3 linked regions of the Schizosaccharomyces pombe genome follow. The protein of the gene in region 3 purifies or fractionates together with the protein of the main gene of each other region. This does not show direct contact. Each region holds a gene or a part of one and is shown on either strand. Other genes may lie near its edges.

The links. Proteins that work in one complex are often made in the same cells at the same time.
Region 1: the proteins of ptr2 (region 3) and tif306 purify together in Schizosaccharomyces pombe (co-purification; one study listed by BioGRID). This does not show direct contact.
Region 2: the proteins of ptr2 (region 3) and tvp23 purify together in Schizosaccharomyces pombe (co-purification; one study listed by BioGRID). This does not show direct contact.

The regions. Positions count from the first base shown.
Region 1 is NC_003423.3:3,121,128-3,125,417, reverse strand, and holds tif306 (translation initiation factor eIF3f), read left to right. Parts: upstream 1-1,579; 5' UTR 1,580-1,611; coding exon 1,612-2,520; 3' UTR 2,521-2,768; downstream 2,769-4,290. Other genes in the region: cytoskeletal protein Syp1, read left to right, coding at 1-1,214; alpha-1,3-galactosyltransferase Otg2, read left to right, coding at 3,014-4,132.
Region 2 is NC_003423.3:2,953,908-2,958,798, reverse strand, and holds tvp23 (putative transport protein Tvp23), read left to right. Parts: upstream 1-1,623; 5' UTR 1,624-1,666; coding exon 1,667-1,833; exon of another isoform or gene 1,834-1,894; coding exon 1,895-2,330; 3' UTR 2,331-3,369; downstream 3,370-4,891. Other genes in the region: nus1 (ditrans,polycis-decaprenylcistransferase), read left to right, coding at 369-678, 746-1,212; san1 (RING finger protein), read left to right, coding at 3,758-4,891. UniProt on the Schizosaccharomyces pombe protein: Golgi membrane protein involved in vesicular trafficking.
Region 3 is NC_003423.3:3,404,151-3,411,220, reverse strand, and holds ptr2 (PTR family peptide transporter), read left to right. Parts: upstream 1-2,861; 5' UTR 2,862-3,528; coding exon 3,529-5,385; 3' UTR 5,386-5,646; downstream 5,647-7,070. Other genes in the region: bbl1 (phosphatidate cytidylyltransferase), read right to left, coding at 6,071-6,912, 6,958-7,070. UniProt on the Schizosaccharomyces pombe protein: Uptake of small peptides.

The sequences.
Region 1 (4,290 bases), 280 kb from region 3:
ATAAACCCAATTCTGTGCACTCTGAAGCCTCAAGAAATACCCCTTCATCGATCGATAGAGAGAATGCATCACATTCGAATCCTATCATGATGCATGGCAATGATTTTGGTGGGAACTTTAACAACATGCAATCACGATCAACAACAACGTCTCCCACATCAGCGGTGGCTTCCCCTGCGCCTACTGAAAACGAGGATAGCAATGCTGCAATTGAAAGGGTAGCAAATACTTTACGAAAGAATCCCACTATATCAAGAAGGACCCGTCGTGCTGGGACAATGGATCGTTATGCTACAGCATCGTCTGACTATATGGAATCAAACCTCGGTAGCTTGCCCAATTTGTCTACTTTATCATTACAATCGGGACCAGACTCGACTGCAACATGGCACCCTGAGTTCCCAAATTCTTCCGGGCTTTCTGCTTCAATCGTCGAAAAGTATTCTGGTGAATTATCTGAAGATGGCCTTCTTCATCCTTCCTGTTCCGGTCATATATTCATGAAATATACCTCGGATTTTAATACCCCTCCTCCTGAAATGGGTGTTCGCGTTGCGTCTGAATTTCCTATGTCTTTTACTCATTTAAATGACCATGCAGTAAAATATGGACCCTCAGAAAACACACTTTCTTTAATACCAGAGCTACTTCTCTCACCAATCAAAGTCACTGATTTTAATCTACATCTTGATAGTATTAACGGTGCTAGTTGCATTCCATTGACAGTTGTTCAGAAATGGAAGCATGATGAAAGCAGTAGTAGTATGATTGCATTTGTGAAGCCTAATCCTGTGTGGAGGAACTTAGGCTCATCTCTTCATATTGAAAAACTTGTTATCATCGTTTACTTGGGGGAAAATGTCCTTGTAAAAAGCTGTCAAAGTTCTCCGGCCGGAGAATTTAGCAGGAAAACTAGTAAACTTAAGCTACATCTTTCGAACATTAATATATCTTCGTCTGGATTTAAAATTTTAGCCAAGTTTGCGATTAGTCCTAGTGCTGCTATTAGAAAGCCAGTTATCGAGTTCCGTATTCGCATGGTTGATTCCTCTAATAACCCTGGTCTCACCAAATTGTTTTTGAAACCAGATATGTTTGATACTACTTCTTCTAGTGGAGGTTCTCAGCTAGAAAGTGCTTATGAAGAAACGAAGGTTCCTACTTCCTATGGTATTCATGTTCGTGAGTGCTCTGTTTTTGCTGATATGAGTTAAATTACTGTTCATTATTAGTCAAGAAAAAGCAAACTGCTTTTTTGGGTTTTATGTTTACACTTTTTTGCTAACCGAATTTTTTGAACATTGTATATATATATAAATGATTTTTAACCAGAGAATGTACAAATGTAAATAGTTATAGAATTTTGAATAAAGAGTTTCTCATTATTGTACGTACAAATGAGACATTGTTAAGGAGATTTTTTAGATTATTCAACGCAACTGAAAATACACTTTCTTAAATGGTAAACCTTAGAAGTTAGGCGAAAAATAGTGTCTTCAATTTAACGAATTCTATGAGACTGTAAACTAGTACAGTAAAATTATTATTGATTGGGGAACAATACCAGATCTACCTACCTGAGAGTAGCCAACAACGTGAAAATTTTAAAAAATGGCTTTGGGGACTAAGCACGTACTCCATCTCACAAAACCGTCTTCCAGGTCAAGTCCTTTGAACATTGTCATTGAACCAGCAGTGCTTTTTTCTATCCTTGACCATTCAACCCGGAAAAGTGAAAATAATCAACGTGTTATCGGTACACTTTTGGGAACACGTTCTGAAGATGGCCGAGAAATTGAGATTAAAAGTTGTTTTGCAGTTCCTCATAATGAGAGCAGTGAGCAGGTAGAAGTTGAAATGGAATATCATCGTGCGATGTACCATTTACACCTCAAGGCTAACCCTCGTGAAGTTGTCGTTGGTTGGTATGCTACTTCTCCTGATTTAGATGCTTTCAGTGCACTGATTCAAAATTTATATGCTTCTCCTGCTGAACCCGGAACTGCTCCACTAGGAACGTATCCTCATCCCTGTGTTCACCTTACTGTCAACACAGATGTTAGCAGTCCCCTTGCCATCAAGACTTACGTTTCTTCACCAGTAGGTATTACAGAGCGCCTTGCTGACAGCTGTGCATTCGTCCCTACCCCTTTTACCATTCGTGATGACGAGGCAGTCCGTTCTGGTTTGAAAGCTGTAGCTGCTCCTAAGAATGACCCATCTAGACTTGCTAGCCTATTCACAGATCTCCAGCAACTTCGAAGATCAACCTTGGAGCTTTTATCTATGATTGAAAGAGTTTCCGATTATGTGCAAAACGTAATTGATGGTTCTTCGCCTGCTAATGTTGCTGTCGGTAGATATTTGATGAAGTGCTTTAGTTTAATTCCTTGCGTAGAAGGCCAAGATTTTGAAAAAATTTTTTCATCACATCTTCAAGATGTTTTGGTTGTAGTTTATCTCGCAAATACCTTACGTACTCAAGTGGATATTGCTTCCCGTCTTAATTTGCTTCCCTAAGCAATTGTTATAACCTAAAAAATCCGGACAATTTCTAACAGTTGTTCGATAGCCCTTTTTTCAAGTCACCGTTATTTTATCCTTTTTTCACACTGGCTGTTAACCCTCAGTGGAAGCAACTGTCTTTATCTCGTCATTCACCCATTTCGACATAGTTTGAGTAGCTTAGCTTGTCGGTAACTATTTAGTATTATACTATAATTGGTTTAGGTTAAACGTCTTATTAAATAAGAGAAAATTTTAAGTCAGAGTCATGTATCTTAACATTTCTTATAGTTAAAATAGTAAGCTTGTTTAATTTTTAAACATTTGATGTTTTTACGTTATAAAGTCGATTTAATTATGTTATTTGTTTTTCAGGGTGTTGAGTTTGTTTTGGTATTGAAAGTAAGCAAAATGTGTATGATGCACCAACAAACATTAAGGGAGTATGTAGAGTAATTCTCTCCGAAAGCACCACCATTTTATAATTTGGCAATCAATTGCCATTAAAATGCGTTTATATTTTAGTGCTTTTCGCCATCCCAAACGACTAGGACTGTGTTTACTGATTACCTTGAGCATTATTTTATTAGGTTGGCAATGTGTTTTGCTATACAATCATAGTCCAGAAATACAAAGGTCAGTTTACACACTGACAGGGTTGGCGCCCTCTTCTAAGATGGCATTTGTAACTATGCTTACTGTACGCGCCGCTAATGGGGAAAACGAAGTAGAAAATACGCAACAGGATTGGTATTATAATTCAACTAGGCTTCTCGTTCACCGACTTGTCAAATTTAAACCTACGAAAAGCAAGTATCCCGTTGTAGTGCTAGCCATGAAGGGAATTGATCAGTGGAAGCTTGATCAATTGCAGGAAGACGGAGCTATTGTTAAAGTAGTCGATCCACTATATGCTCATGAAGTGGTTGACGATGTCAATGACATTGCCCTACTGGATTCCCGATGGAGTATGATGTTTACCAAGTTGAGAGTTTTCGAAATGTACGAATATGATAGAATATGTTTTCTTGATAGTGATATTTTGCCTATTAAAAAAATGGACAAAGTTTTTGATGTTCACCAACTCTCCTATAGTAAGGATTCTGTTCTGTTTCCTCCCACCCTATTCTACAAGCCTAGGCGCAGCATTTTTTGGAGACGCTTTACAGAAGAGTTTGCAGCTTACGGGCTGACAAGAGACGATCTTTATCCCTACGTTTTCGCTGCTGTGTCCGATCCAGGTATGTGGCATGAAACTCCTCCTCCTTTTAAAGATTATTTTAATGCTGGTCTATTCGTCTTTAAGCCATTGAAGGCACATTATAAAAGGTTAATGGCATTAGCAAGGTTTCCAAAATTGTATGATAATGCAAACATGATGGAGCAAAGTTTGCTAAATTTTGCATACAATTCAGCAGGTGCTTTTCCATGGGAGTCACTTGATTGGACTTTTAACGGACTTTGGGCTAGAAAAAATGACTTACCATATCTAAAAGCAGTTCATGGAAAACATTGGCAACCAGAAGGAAGTCTAGGTTATGATGAAGACACATCCAAGCTATGGTGGGATGCGTTTCAAGAAATGCAAACGTATCATGACCAACAACGTAATGCTGATTTATATTAAACAGATGAAAGCAATTTTCATGTCGTGATCAAGTAAAAAATAAGGCGGCTTTTGACTTTTAAGAAGCAGTTATTTTCATTTAATGTATTGCTGACAACACGTACTGTTGAAAGGCTATCTCATTTTTACAGTCATTCTAAAATAATTTGTGTTTCCTC
Region 2 (4,891 bases), 450 kb from region 3:
AAGGTATTGATTCCATACGGCTAGACACTGTATATCATTTGTACGAATTATCTAGAGTTAACTTTAAAAAATACCCTATAACAAAAAAAGATAAAACTTCGATACATCGATTTTTTCAGAAAGAGCAGCTTTCATTGTTCGTGTTGGTATCACAAAGTACCTCAGCACACCACCCAACATTGCAGCCTGCAGTTCATAAACATCGCCAGTTGTCTTCTCATAGCTGTAAATTGTTCCTAGGAAGTTTCAAACTTAAAAAGTTTGTTTGTTCATATTTAAAATCCAATTTATACCCCTAAATATAAAAAAACTACAGAGTTCAACCTAAATTAAATAGGTTCGAATTCTGACAACCAGTGTTCACAAACATGTATGATGATATTTTCTTTTATTTAGCTTTATGGGTTATACAAAGCGTTTATGGTGCCTGGGATTGGGCAAAAAATTGGGTTTTTTGGACATGCAGTTATTTACTGAATTTTTTGTATCATCACCATTGTAGTAGAGATCTTATAAGACGCGATACGAAAAAATTAAAGAAGAAACCAAAACACATCGCCGTTATTATTGAGTGTGTAGAAGATGGAGGTATAGAGGGCCTTATTCATGATGCTTGTGAATTATCTGCTTGGTGTGTTTGTTCTAATATTCGCGAACTTACGATTTATGAACGTAAAGGTATATAATTGCAGTTGAAGTTTTGAAATTCCATTACTATTTGATTACATTTATTAACAGATTTTAGGGTTTTTAAAGCAATCTCCCGAAGCTGTTGAAAAAGCTATTTACTCTCACCTGCCATTCTATCTTGGAGGTGACAAGTGTACCGTCCATGTAACTAATCCTTGCTCTCCTGATGAAAAAAATCAAAATGACTGTGTCGATTTAAAGGTTCATCTTATAGCGAAAGAAGATGGTCGAGATGCTATCATCGATTTAACTAGAGGTTTAGCGGATTTATGTACTAAAAAAGTTATCAGTAGCACCCAAGTTACACTGGAATTGATTGATAAAGAATTGAAGGAGAGCGTAATACCTGAACCAGACTTACTAATCATATTTGCTCCTCTGCTTAAGTTGCAAGGATTTCCACCTTGGCAGCTTAGATTATGTGAAATATTTCATGATCCTATTTTATATACAACAAATTACCTAACATTCTTTAAAGCACTTGTTCATTACTCGAATGCAGAAATGCGGTTAGGGCACTGAGGTTTTATAAATTTAAATATGAAAAGCCAAAAGCTACCAAAAATTTATCAAGTTGTCTTCTTGAGGTTTTTGTTACTTCTTGTCTAAAATGCTTTTTGGATTTTGTTAATAAAATTAGGAATTCAGTATTACAGAAAAATTTAATTTACTTCAAATGCTTAGATGATAGGCATTAACAAAATTAAACAGACAGGCAGTCAGATTCATACTTTGGATATTATATGCATTACAGTTTTAAAAAAATTTAATAAACATTTTCGTTAGAAGAATATTATAAAACTTAAATTAACAACTAAACATTCACTTTCGAATACGATCTTTTAGAAAACCAGGCTTGCTACACAATAAGAATCTTCGTTAAGGTTCCTTATTCGCATACTGTCAAACCCCTGCTGAGATGTTCACCTCTTTGGATCGAAACCTTTACGTTGATAACCATATCACGTTGACGAAAATGGACTATCAAAATACGGAGACAATTGCCGAGCAGGAAAGGAATGCTAGTAGGCTACCGCAGATGTTTCAAATGTCTTCGCATCCTGTAGCTCTTTTCTTCTTTCTTTTATTTCGTACCGGTGCAATTGTGGCATACATATTGGGCATGTTCTTTACCTCAAGTTTGTAAGTTTTTAATAGCAGAAATTTAAAAGAAAAAGAAATTGAGCTAAACAAATAAAAATAGTATGTTGTTGTTTATTGTAATTTTCACTTTGCTAGCTGTTGATCTTTGGACTGTTAAAAACGTCTCTGGTCGTTTACTAGTTGGTTTGAGATGGAGAAATGAAACTGGAGTTGATGGTGAAAGCATTTGGATTTTCGAATCGGCAGATCCCAGTCGTCCCAGAAACGCCGTTGATCAGAAGACGTTTTGGTACGCTCTCTATCTATATCCATTTATTTGGATCATATTGGGGATTGTAGCTATAATTCGATTTGAATTTCTCTGGCTTGCACTCGTTGCTGTCGCAATTGGACTGACAAGTGTTAACACCGCTGCTTACAGTCGTTGTGACAAAGACGCGAAGCGTCGTTGGGCTACAGAACTTGCAGATTCCAATTCTTCTGGATTTGTTTCCAGATTTTTATCTAGGGCTTTTATCAAGAGATTTATTGGTTAAAGCTCTTTCAAATTCTGTAAATAATTTTTCGAACTACATTGCATTTTAAGCTCATTGTATATGAAAAAGCTAATTTCATGGGATTCTGGCTTAACGATTTGCTTGTTAATTAAATTGACGAAAGCGCTGGAACGATATTGTGTTTTTACTTCCCAACTTTGAAATGACAGAGCGTCAATTTGAATCCTTAAGCATCAACTGATTACGTATTTTTATAATACAAAAGCCAAAAGACTGTATGACGGATCCTGTATTTTAGTATGAGTTTATATAACCTCCCATACTGTTACTTTCAAGCATATATCTTCTTTTCTGATTGAATATTTGAATAGAGCCCAATGGTTATTTTTAGGTGCACATTACGTTCTTTTATTCATACATTCTTTTATGGTTAATACTATCACACAAAGTTTCATGAAGGCCAACTGAGATCTTTTGAAACCCACTACATTTATTTTTCCATTGATAACATTCTTAGTTAGACTTCAAATATTTACGCATGGAGTGCTTAATAAGATACCGATGAACGAAACTTCAAAGTTTGGTGCTACTTTTTATTTCGACAACTATGTTCCTGCGTGTGTTTGCTGTGAACTTAAAATTTAATACTTTCTTATTAGTGATGAACATATATTGAAACGAAGTTCTTATAACAGCATAATAAAAGCGGAAAGAATATGTAATTGTTAGTTTCTAATATACATATTTTAAATGGCAAAATATGTATTTAGATGATTCCTTTACTAAAGAGCATATCATTTTTTTAGTACATATATAAAGCATTAGCTTAAATGTCAATTATAAATTCAAGGATATGCGGTTTCTTACACGATTCGCAGAATTTCGGTTTTCATATGCTTTATGTCAACAAACCTCCCAACTATCAAATAAGGAGAACCTTTTATAACTCCTTAAAAATATTAAGGTATTGAATGTCCTAATGAACGCCCACATGTTCACTGTCTCTATTGGCAATATATAATGGAAGTCCCTGGTTTTCTATTTTGTTCAACACCACATTTTGCACCTTAAAAGATAGTTTAAGTGGAAAGGTGCACTTTATAACATTCTATAACGTCTTTTATTTTCTATTTACTTTTTTTTTTGCTTGCCTAAATAAATATTGAAATATTCAGTGGCCAGAAAACCCCGATGGAGAATGTTACATTTTCCTTACCATTAAATTTTTGATTCCTGTTTTTTTATTACCGCAGCAATCATATTTTACCATATTCCTCCTTTGTATATAATAAGTCTCCTACAAATATTTCCTTTGTCTTATTTGTTGTTTTTATTTTGAGTACTGCTTTATTTATTTAGATTCGACTTTATTGTGGTCGTTTTATTTCTTTTTTTTGGTTTTATTATTAGACCACTGAGGTACTAGTTTTTTGTATAGAATCTCCTGTTACAATTATCTGTTTTAAATGGATTCCAATACAAATGAGAATAATTCTCATGCATCATCAAACGAGAGACAATCATCTGAAGGGCATGATGACTATTTGAATCGTAATCCAAACAGTGAAGCAACTGAGGGTGAAGAAGGTACCCACCCTACCACGGGGACTCAACCAGTTGCTTTTTCAATTGGTACAATGTTTATCATAACTCCTCAAGCCAATTTCGAGGGTGGAGAAAATGATCCGTTTGCCAATCCCTTTCAACCACCCGTAAAACGCGCTGTAAAAGAAGCCTGGGATTCTTTCGAACCTTTGTCTAATGACCAACTGATGGATTTGACTTGTCCGATCTGTTACGATGATATGAATGAAAATGATGAAAAGCAGGCTACCAAGATGCCATGTGGCCACATATTCGGTAAAAATTGTTTACAAAAATGGCTTGAAAATCATTGTACATGTCCTCTTTGTAGAAAAGAGGTTCCCCACGAAACAGTAGGTTCAGCTCATCCTCCTATTTTATTTATCATTCCACACTCACATACGCTTCGTGGCAACCAAGGCAACACCGCGGTTTCTCAAGAAAATGCATCAAATGGTGTTCATTCCGACTTTCATCCATCTGAGGAGCTTAACAATGCAAACACTGATGGTCGAACCGGCGTAGACGAACCAGCTCGGCAACTGCATCGCATTGCTTTTAACCGAATACGTTTTATTCTAGCTCCAAATCGATCTGCCACCAATACCCCTGTTGAAAATACTCACCCTGAAAACCCTGACTCAAACACCTCAACACCTACTACTCGTAGTGAGCCCTTAGCAGGAGAAGGTGCCTCTATTGATGCCGAAAATGCTAGCTCTAGACAAGAGACTACTCCTTCGGATTCTCGTCCTTCGACGCTTACGTCCTTATTTAATGCTTTCTTTTCATCTATGCCTGATCGCCCTTCCTCTAATGAACCTATGACTTCGAATCTTACCTCTAATTCTGGTAGTATGACGAATAGTACTTCCACAGACTTGCCAACTAGTAACTTGCCCTCTCAAAATGCTCCAGCTAGACCAGTTGAGCCGTCACCTTCAATACAGCCTCCCAATTTGCTAAATCTTCCAACGGCTTCGCCTGAATCAACTTCATGGCTTCCTGGAAGCCAA
Region 3 (7,070 bases):
CTGATCTGAGGATGTCCGTCCGTCATTCTCGCCTACACGGACACGAGACATTTCAATGATATGATAGTAAGATAGGATGGATAGAGAAGGAAAGAAGAAGTCGGAAGAGACAGAGCAAGGGGTTAAGCAAATTTGCCCAACACAATACGCGGTCGTTGGAGTTTATCTATAGATTTAACGAATGTTCGATAAAAACAAGGGTCGGAATAAAAAATGACGAGAAGAGAAAATTAAGTGATATGACATTTTATCAACGGAAATAGGAAATACATATGGGTGATATGCAGGTACCCGAATATCAAAGAAGGAAACAGTAACCTATGTTTGAAAGAAGACAATTCGTAAATGAAACCCTTCCTTACTTATCATTAAACTAGCGATACTTGTTGGACTTCATAATGCGCGTCTCTATAGACGTTTGTTACTTTAAAAAATCTATTAGCAGAAGGATCAATTGATAAGACGAGAACGACTTGATGTTAAGTAGGCGCAAAGAAAACAAGCATTATGGACGGCTCAATGAAATAAATAATTAACATGCAAAAAATATAGAAAAATGCAATGTTCAGTTTATAGCACTTAGTAACAAGTGTTGCGAATTTTTTCCAACTAGTAGGTAAACATGCATTGTTAACTCTATGAAAACACTGGAAACATTGGTTCCGTGAAACTTTCGACGGAATCAAAGGGGGAAAAGGTTTTTAACGTGAAAAGTATAGTTCAAATTACATGACGAAGAGGTGTGGTAGATAAGTTTTAGAGAGCGAAAAAAAAAAAAAAAAACCAAAAAACCAAAAAGAGGTCAAATTTTTTTTTTCCTTTTCTCTCCTCTCTCCTTTTCAATTGATAAGGAATGGGCATAGAAACAAAAAGCAATTTGTTTAAAAGTTCATAAATTCAAAGGAGAAACATCTGCCAAAGTAGTATCAACTTGTGCACCGACGACGAGATAGAAAAGTCAAGTCAGAATCAGCAATGCTAGAAGCATAGATATCGATGTGACATTGCATACTCCTTCGTTATTGGGGATTTATTTACTAATGCTATCAAACTCAAGTTTCTTCAAAGTTATCATGAACTTACTATAAGAAATCTGATTCTGTGATAGAAGATATCGTTTGGAATTTAGGGTATACTATCTGTTGCTAATTTGCATACTTTTTGAAGTCTTGTGCCTCGCCTTACACAACCATCTCGTTTGCTTGACGGAGGGTAGGGTATCGCTGCATAACGAGTTGGACCATTTCTTACTAGGCTTTCCCGATACTTTCAGCAATCTTGCAGCATTATGGTTTCATTTGGCAAAATGAGGGAAAATGGGTGCGAAAAATTGCTCATACACCAACAAGTCCGTTTTGGAGTGTGATATGTTCATTTCCGTGACAGTTATACCCACTACTATTAATGCTATCACTATTCTTCCTTTCTTACTTTACTTTACCTTACCTACTTGTTGTCGTCCCTCATCATCTTTGCGACAATTCATGTGGGGGTAGGCGAACTAGTCGCTTTTACTATCTCTGCCACCCACGATGTTTACCGGGTTCGAGGTTCTTAAAGAGAAGACCTTGTTTCCTCGTGCACACACCGTGCTACAGCAGACCACTCACCATTCGCATACATAGTTTTACCTTGGTGAATCGCCAGCGCTAATCGCGGAATACCCGGGGAAGGAAACAAGAGAGAAGAGACACGCGAACGTGGTGTAAAGGCCGATGTCGAGAAGAAGGAATGAATTCAACGGTTAAATAAATAAATAAAAACAACAATGTAACACTCATCAAACGATTACATAAATTTAATAAATATGCAAAGTATTAAGAATCTAACAAATATGTAATTATTATTAATGAGCAAACTACAAGTAAGCAATGAATACAACTCAACCCTCAAACCTCTAAAATTATTGAAAAACTTCGTTCACCTGTATGTCGTCGTGAGAGAATAAGAAACGTAGAGGATGTGTTTGTAAATAACAATATGTATGACAATACATAGACAGTCATCTCTTTTCTACCTTTTCCCTCATCCTCATCCATACTCATATAGTAACACTTATACCTTTTACTCTCACTTTCACATATACTAACTATATTGTCTCACATTCTTTCTATACCTCTCCTCACTCTCATTCTCACTCCTGTAGTGAAACTTCTATTTTTGGCACTATAACGTGCTACTCGTTTTTTCCATATGCTCTGCACGTTGTGCTCTTGACCATTTAATTCCATGCACCCCACTTGGTACCCAATTTCATCCCCACTTTTTCGGTCAAGTACGACTTTCCACTTCAACCATGCGATGTGGTGGCACAAAAGTCCTAAATGGAGGTACACGAGTTTTTTCTATCGTTAAGCAAAAACACGCAACTGAACAAGTGCGCAATCCTTCCGCATGATAGTGGAGTAGATGAAAAAAACGGCATCACACGAAGAAATCCAAGCTTATCTATTTCCAGCGGATTTACCAATTTTCACCCCTTTTTCCAACAGGTCACACGTTGTGCGATATGGTTACTCCTCGTGCATTTTTAATCAAATAGATATTCCGCACTAACGTTTTTGTCCGAAATAACATTTGATTTATCCAATCAACCATCAAACCCACCTTTCACGCATTGACCTTAATTATTAAAAATGTGCAGTCTAGACCGGTCCTCCCTCTTTTTTGATTTATCTGTAGGGAAGATAATAAACTTTTTCATACCACGTTTCCTACATTTACGATTTGTCTATCGCCTATCGTGCTTTGCTCACCGTCATTGATAAAGGCGTGCATGAACACGTGGTGACTGCTAAATCAGTGTGGACAAATTTCATTTTCAGCAGTATTTATACTTGAAAATTATCCCCTCAAAAGACATCCTTCGTCGTGCCGTCTAGTCTGTGTTTTAGAAGTAAGAGAAATTCAAAAACCTTGAGTGGAAACTCCTCATCGTTCGTATAATTAATCGTTTGACCTCTTTTGTTTGGAGTTGTGACTTTCTCCACACTTTCACATACATACACTTTTAATTTCCAAGTATTTATTTAATACATTAAGGAAAAATTTTTTCATTCTAAAAATTTTTCTTTTTTTATTATTATTGTCATAAATACTTATTTGTTGTTGTGTATATTTAATCTTGTTTTAAATACCCTTTCTCACTCTCACTCACTTTCATATTTCTTACTCTTAGTTGAGTTAGTCGGCCTTCGATACACATATAAAAGTGTTTATTTTAACTTTTTTGTGAATTCACTTGTCAATTTTGTGTAATTAGTTTGACTAATTATTATTATTATTATTTTTGATCTATTCTTTTTTTTATCTTTTGTACTACAATTGTTTTTTAATCTTTCGCTTGTTTACGTTATTTTTCTCTTCCTCTTTTTTTTTTTTTAATATTCGCCTCTTTTGTTTTCTCGTTTCATTGTAATTATTTTATACCCAAAAATTGTTCTTGAAACTTCTGTTCATTCTCTTTTTTATTATTATTTTTGATTTTCATACGATCGATTTCCTACATTCAATTTACCTGTGTTTACAATGAGTAGCATTGAAGAACAAATTACGAAATCGGACTCCGATTTCATCATTTCAGAAGATCAATCCTACTTAAGCAAGGAGAAAAAGGCTGATGGTTCTGCCACCATCAACACCGCTGACGAACAATCCTCCACCGATGAACTCCAAAAATCCATGTCCACCGGCGTCCTCGTCAATGGTGACTTATACCCTTCTCCTACCGAAGAAGAATTAGCCACCCTTCCTCGTGTTTGCGGTACTATTCCTTGGAAAGCCTTTATTATCATTATTGTCGAGCTTTGCGAACGTTTCGCTTACTATGGTCTCACTGTTCCCTTTCAAAATTATATGCAATTCGGTCCTAAGGATGCTACTCCAGGTGCCCTTAATTTAGGCGAAAGCGGTGCTGACGGTCTTTCTAATTTCTTCACATTTTGGTGTTATGTCACCCCGGTTGGCGCTGCACTTATTGCTGATCAATTCCTTGGTAGGTACAATACCATTGTTTGCTCTGCTGTCATTTACTTTATTGGTATCTTGATTCTTACATGTACTGCTATTCCTTCTGTCATTGATGCCGGAAAAAGTATGGGTGGGTTTGTCGTCTCTTTGATCATCATTGGTCTTGGAACCGGTGGTATCAAATCCAATGTTTCCCCCTTGATGGCTGAACAGCTTCCAAAAATTCCTCCTTATGTAAAGACCAAGAAAAATGGTAGCAAGGTCATTGTTGACCCCGTCGTCACCACCTCTCGTGCCTATATGATTTTCTACTGGTCAATTAACGTCGGTTCTCTCTCCGTATTAGCCACCACTAGTTTGGAAAGTACTAAAGGTTTTGTTTACGCATACTTGCTTCCCTTGTGCGTCTTTGTTATCCCCTTAATTATTTTGGCTGTTAGTAAGCGCTTTTACAAGCACACTCCTCCCTCCGGTTCCATCTTTGTTCGTGTTGGTCAAGTGTTCTTCCTTGCTGCTCAAAACAAATTTAATCTCGAAAAAACTAAACCATCTTGCACTACTACTGTTGGACGCGTTACGCTCAAGGATCAGTGGGATGACTTGTTTATCGACGAATTGAAACGTGCCTTACGCGCCTGCAAAACTTTTCTCTTTTACCCTATCTATTGGGTATGCTATGGTCAAATGACCAACAACTTAATTTCTCAAGCTGGACAAATGCAAACGGGTAATGTCTCTAACGATCTTTTCCAAGCCTTCGATTCAATCGCCTTGATTATTTTCATTCCCATTTGTGACAATATCATCTATCCATTATTGCGTAAGTATAACATCCCTTTCAAACCCATCCTTCGTATTACTTTAGGGTTTATGTTTGCTACTGCTTCCATGATTTACGCTGCTGTTTTACAAGCAAAGATTTATCAAAGAGGCCCTTGCTATGCAAATTTTACTGATACATGTGTTTCCAATGACATCAGTGTTTGGATCCAAATCCCTGCTTACGTTTTGATTGCTTTCTCTGAAATTTTTGCCAGTATTACTGGTTTAGAATTTGCATTTACCAAGGCCCCTCCTTCAATGAAATCCATTATTACTGCTTTGTTCTTGTTCACCAATGCATTCGGTGCCATTCTATCTATTTGCATTTCTTCTACTGCTGTCAATCCTAAGCTTACTTGGATGTACACTGGTATTGCCGTCACTGCCTTTATTGCTGGTATTATGTTTTGGGTTTGCTTCCACCACTATGATGCTATGGAAGATGAACAAAATCAACTTGAGTTCAAGCGTAATGATGCGTTAACGAAGAAGGACGTTGAAAAGGAAGTTCATGATAGTTATAGCATGGCAGATGAGTCCCAATACAATTTGGAAAAAGCAACTGCTGAAGAGGAAATCATGAAAAGCACATAATACTTAATTTAACTTAATTCGTATTTGCGGGATGCCAATTTTTCTTTTCTTTTTTTTTTTACAAAATTTCCCAAAAAATTGGGGTTTGCATGTTTTGTTTCCATCTTTTTTTTTGTTATGATGCCGTTGTTCTACTGATGCTCCTTATTTAAATGCAGTAGTACTTATCCACTCTCAGAAAATAGAGTTTTACAGTGGGTCTATATACCAGAATTTACTACAGTGTGATTTAATGAAAATATATATTGCTGTGCATAATTTAAAATATTAAAGAAAGTATCAAATATGTTGAAAATAAGAAATTCTTTAGCGGTAAACAAAACTGTATGTGTTGAGACAAGAAACTGTTTTTTAGTAGAACCGACGTGAGATTAGTCCAATAATCAACTTTTCTAAGCGTTTGCGAATTAAGCTAGCTCACTTAACCAACCTGATGACAAAAGTTTTTGATGAAAACTAATTCGGAAAATGTCAAACAAAATTTTTAAGGTGAAAAACTGAAAATTATATAAAGCAAACGAACGACTAGATCTAGTTTGGAGTTGACTAAAAATTAGACATGGGATATCAAAACTTCCAAGCAATAACGAATGACTAACAAACGGAAGTCAAACTATACATGACAACGCATTTAATAATATAAAAGACTGGCTAGTAAACAAATACGAGGATAACAAAGTGTAAGCTATTTTGAGTTTTGAAGAAGTTTGGAACAAATAGCTTGAACACTAGTTTTGCCATGACTGATGAGATAGTTTTGTAAATCTTCAACAAGTTGCACTTGCTGAGTGGTCGTGAGGCTATAAACTGCTGTATCCAATAAATCAGCAACAGATGTACTCTTTTCTGCAATAAATGATTGGAAATACATATAAACGAAGACTCCATTTAAAAACTGGCAATCCATTCTGTCAGTTAAACCACCATGCCCCGGGATGGAAGCTCCAAAATCCTTAATTTTAAAAGCACGCTTAAGACCACTAGCAAAGAATCCTCCGAAAGGGGCAATTAAACTCGAAAAGGTAGCGAAGATAGCCAAATGGAAATATATAGGAGCAAGAGTAATTGTTTCAGGAAGTCTAAAGGTATCGACAAAAACAGCTGGAATAGTATAAGTGTGAGGAAGAAATACAGAATTTGGAGTGCAATTGAGACCACTGAAAGCAGAAGTAGATAAGTCACGAGTGGGACAGATAAAATATTTGAAGTGCATTAAAACATAGCTGATAAGAGAACCAATAACTACAGTACAAATCCATCCTCCTAAAAAACCTTCGACAGTCTTCTTGGGGGAAACTTGAATAAGCGGATGCTTGCCAAACATCTTACCACACAAATACGCGAAAACATCGTTGCATACAACGTAGCAAACAGGGACAAAGAACCAAAATAAACCTTCAAACAGATTGTTAATCATAAAATGGGACTGTCCAACTACTAAGAGTAAAGTCATATGAGTCCAACAGAACTGACTGAACTGAAACTTATAATTGCCTTTTTTCAGGGAAGCGACGAAAAGTACAAAACCTAGCAAAAATTAGTAAACAATTCAAAGACGTTTAATCCACTAACCTATGATGTACAACATAAAGGATATAAACCTATGGTGTAAAACCAATGGAAGCATAAAAGAATCCATAATAAAAAGATGGTGAAAGTAAGCATAGATACTTTCACCATAAGCG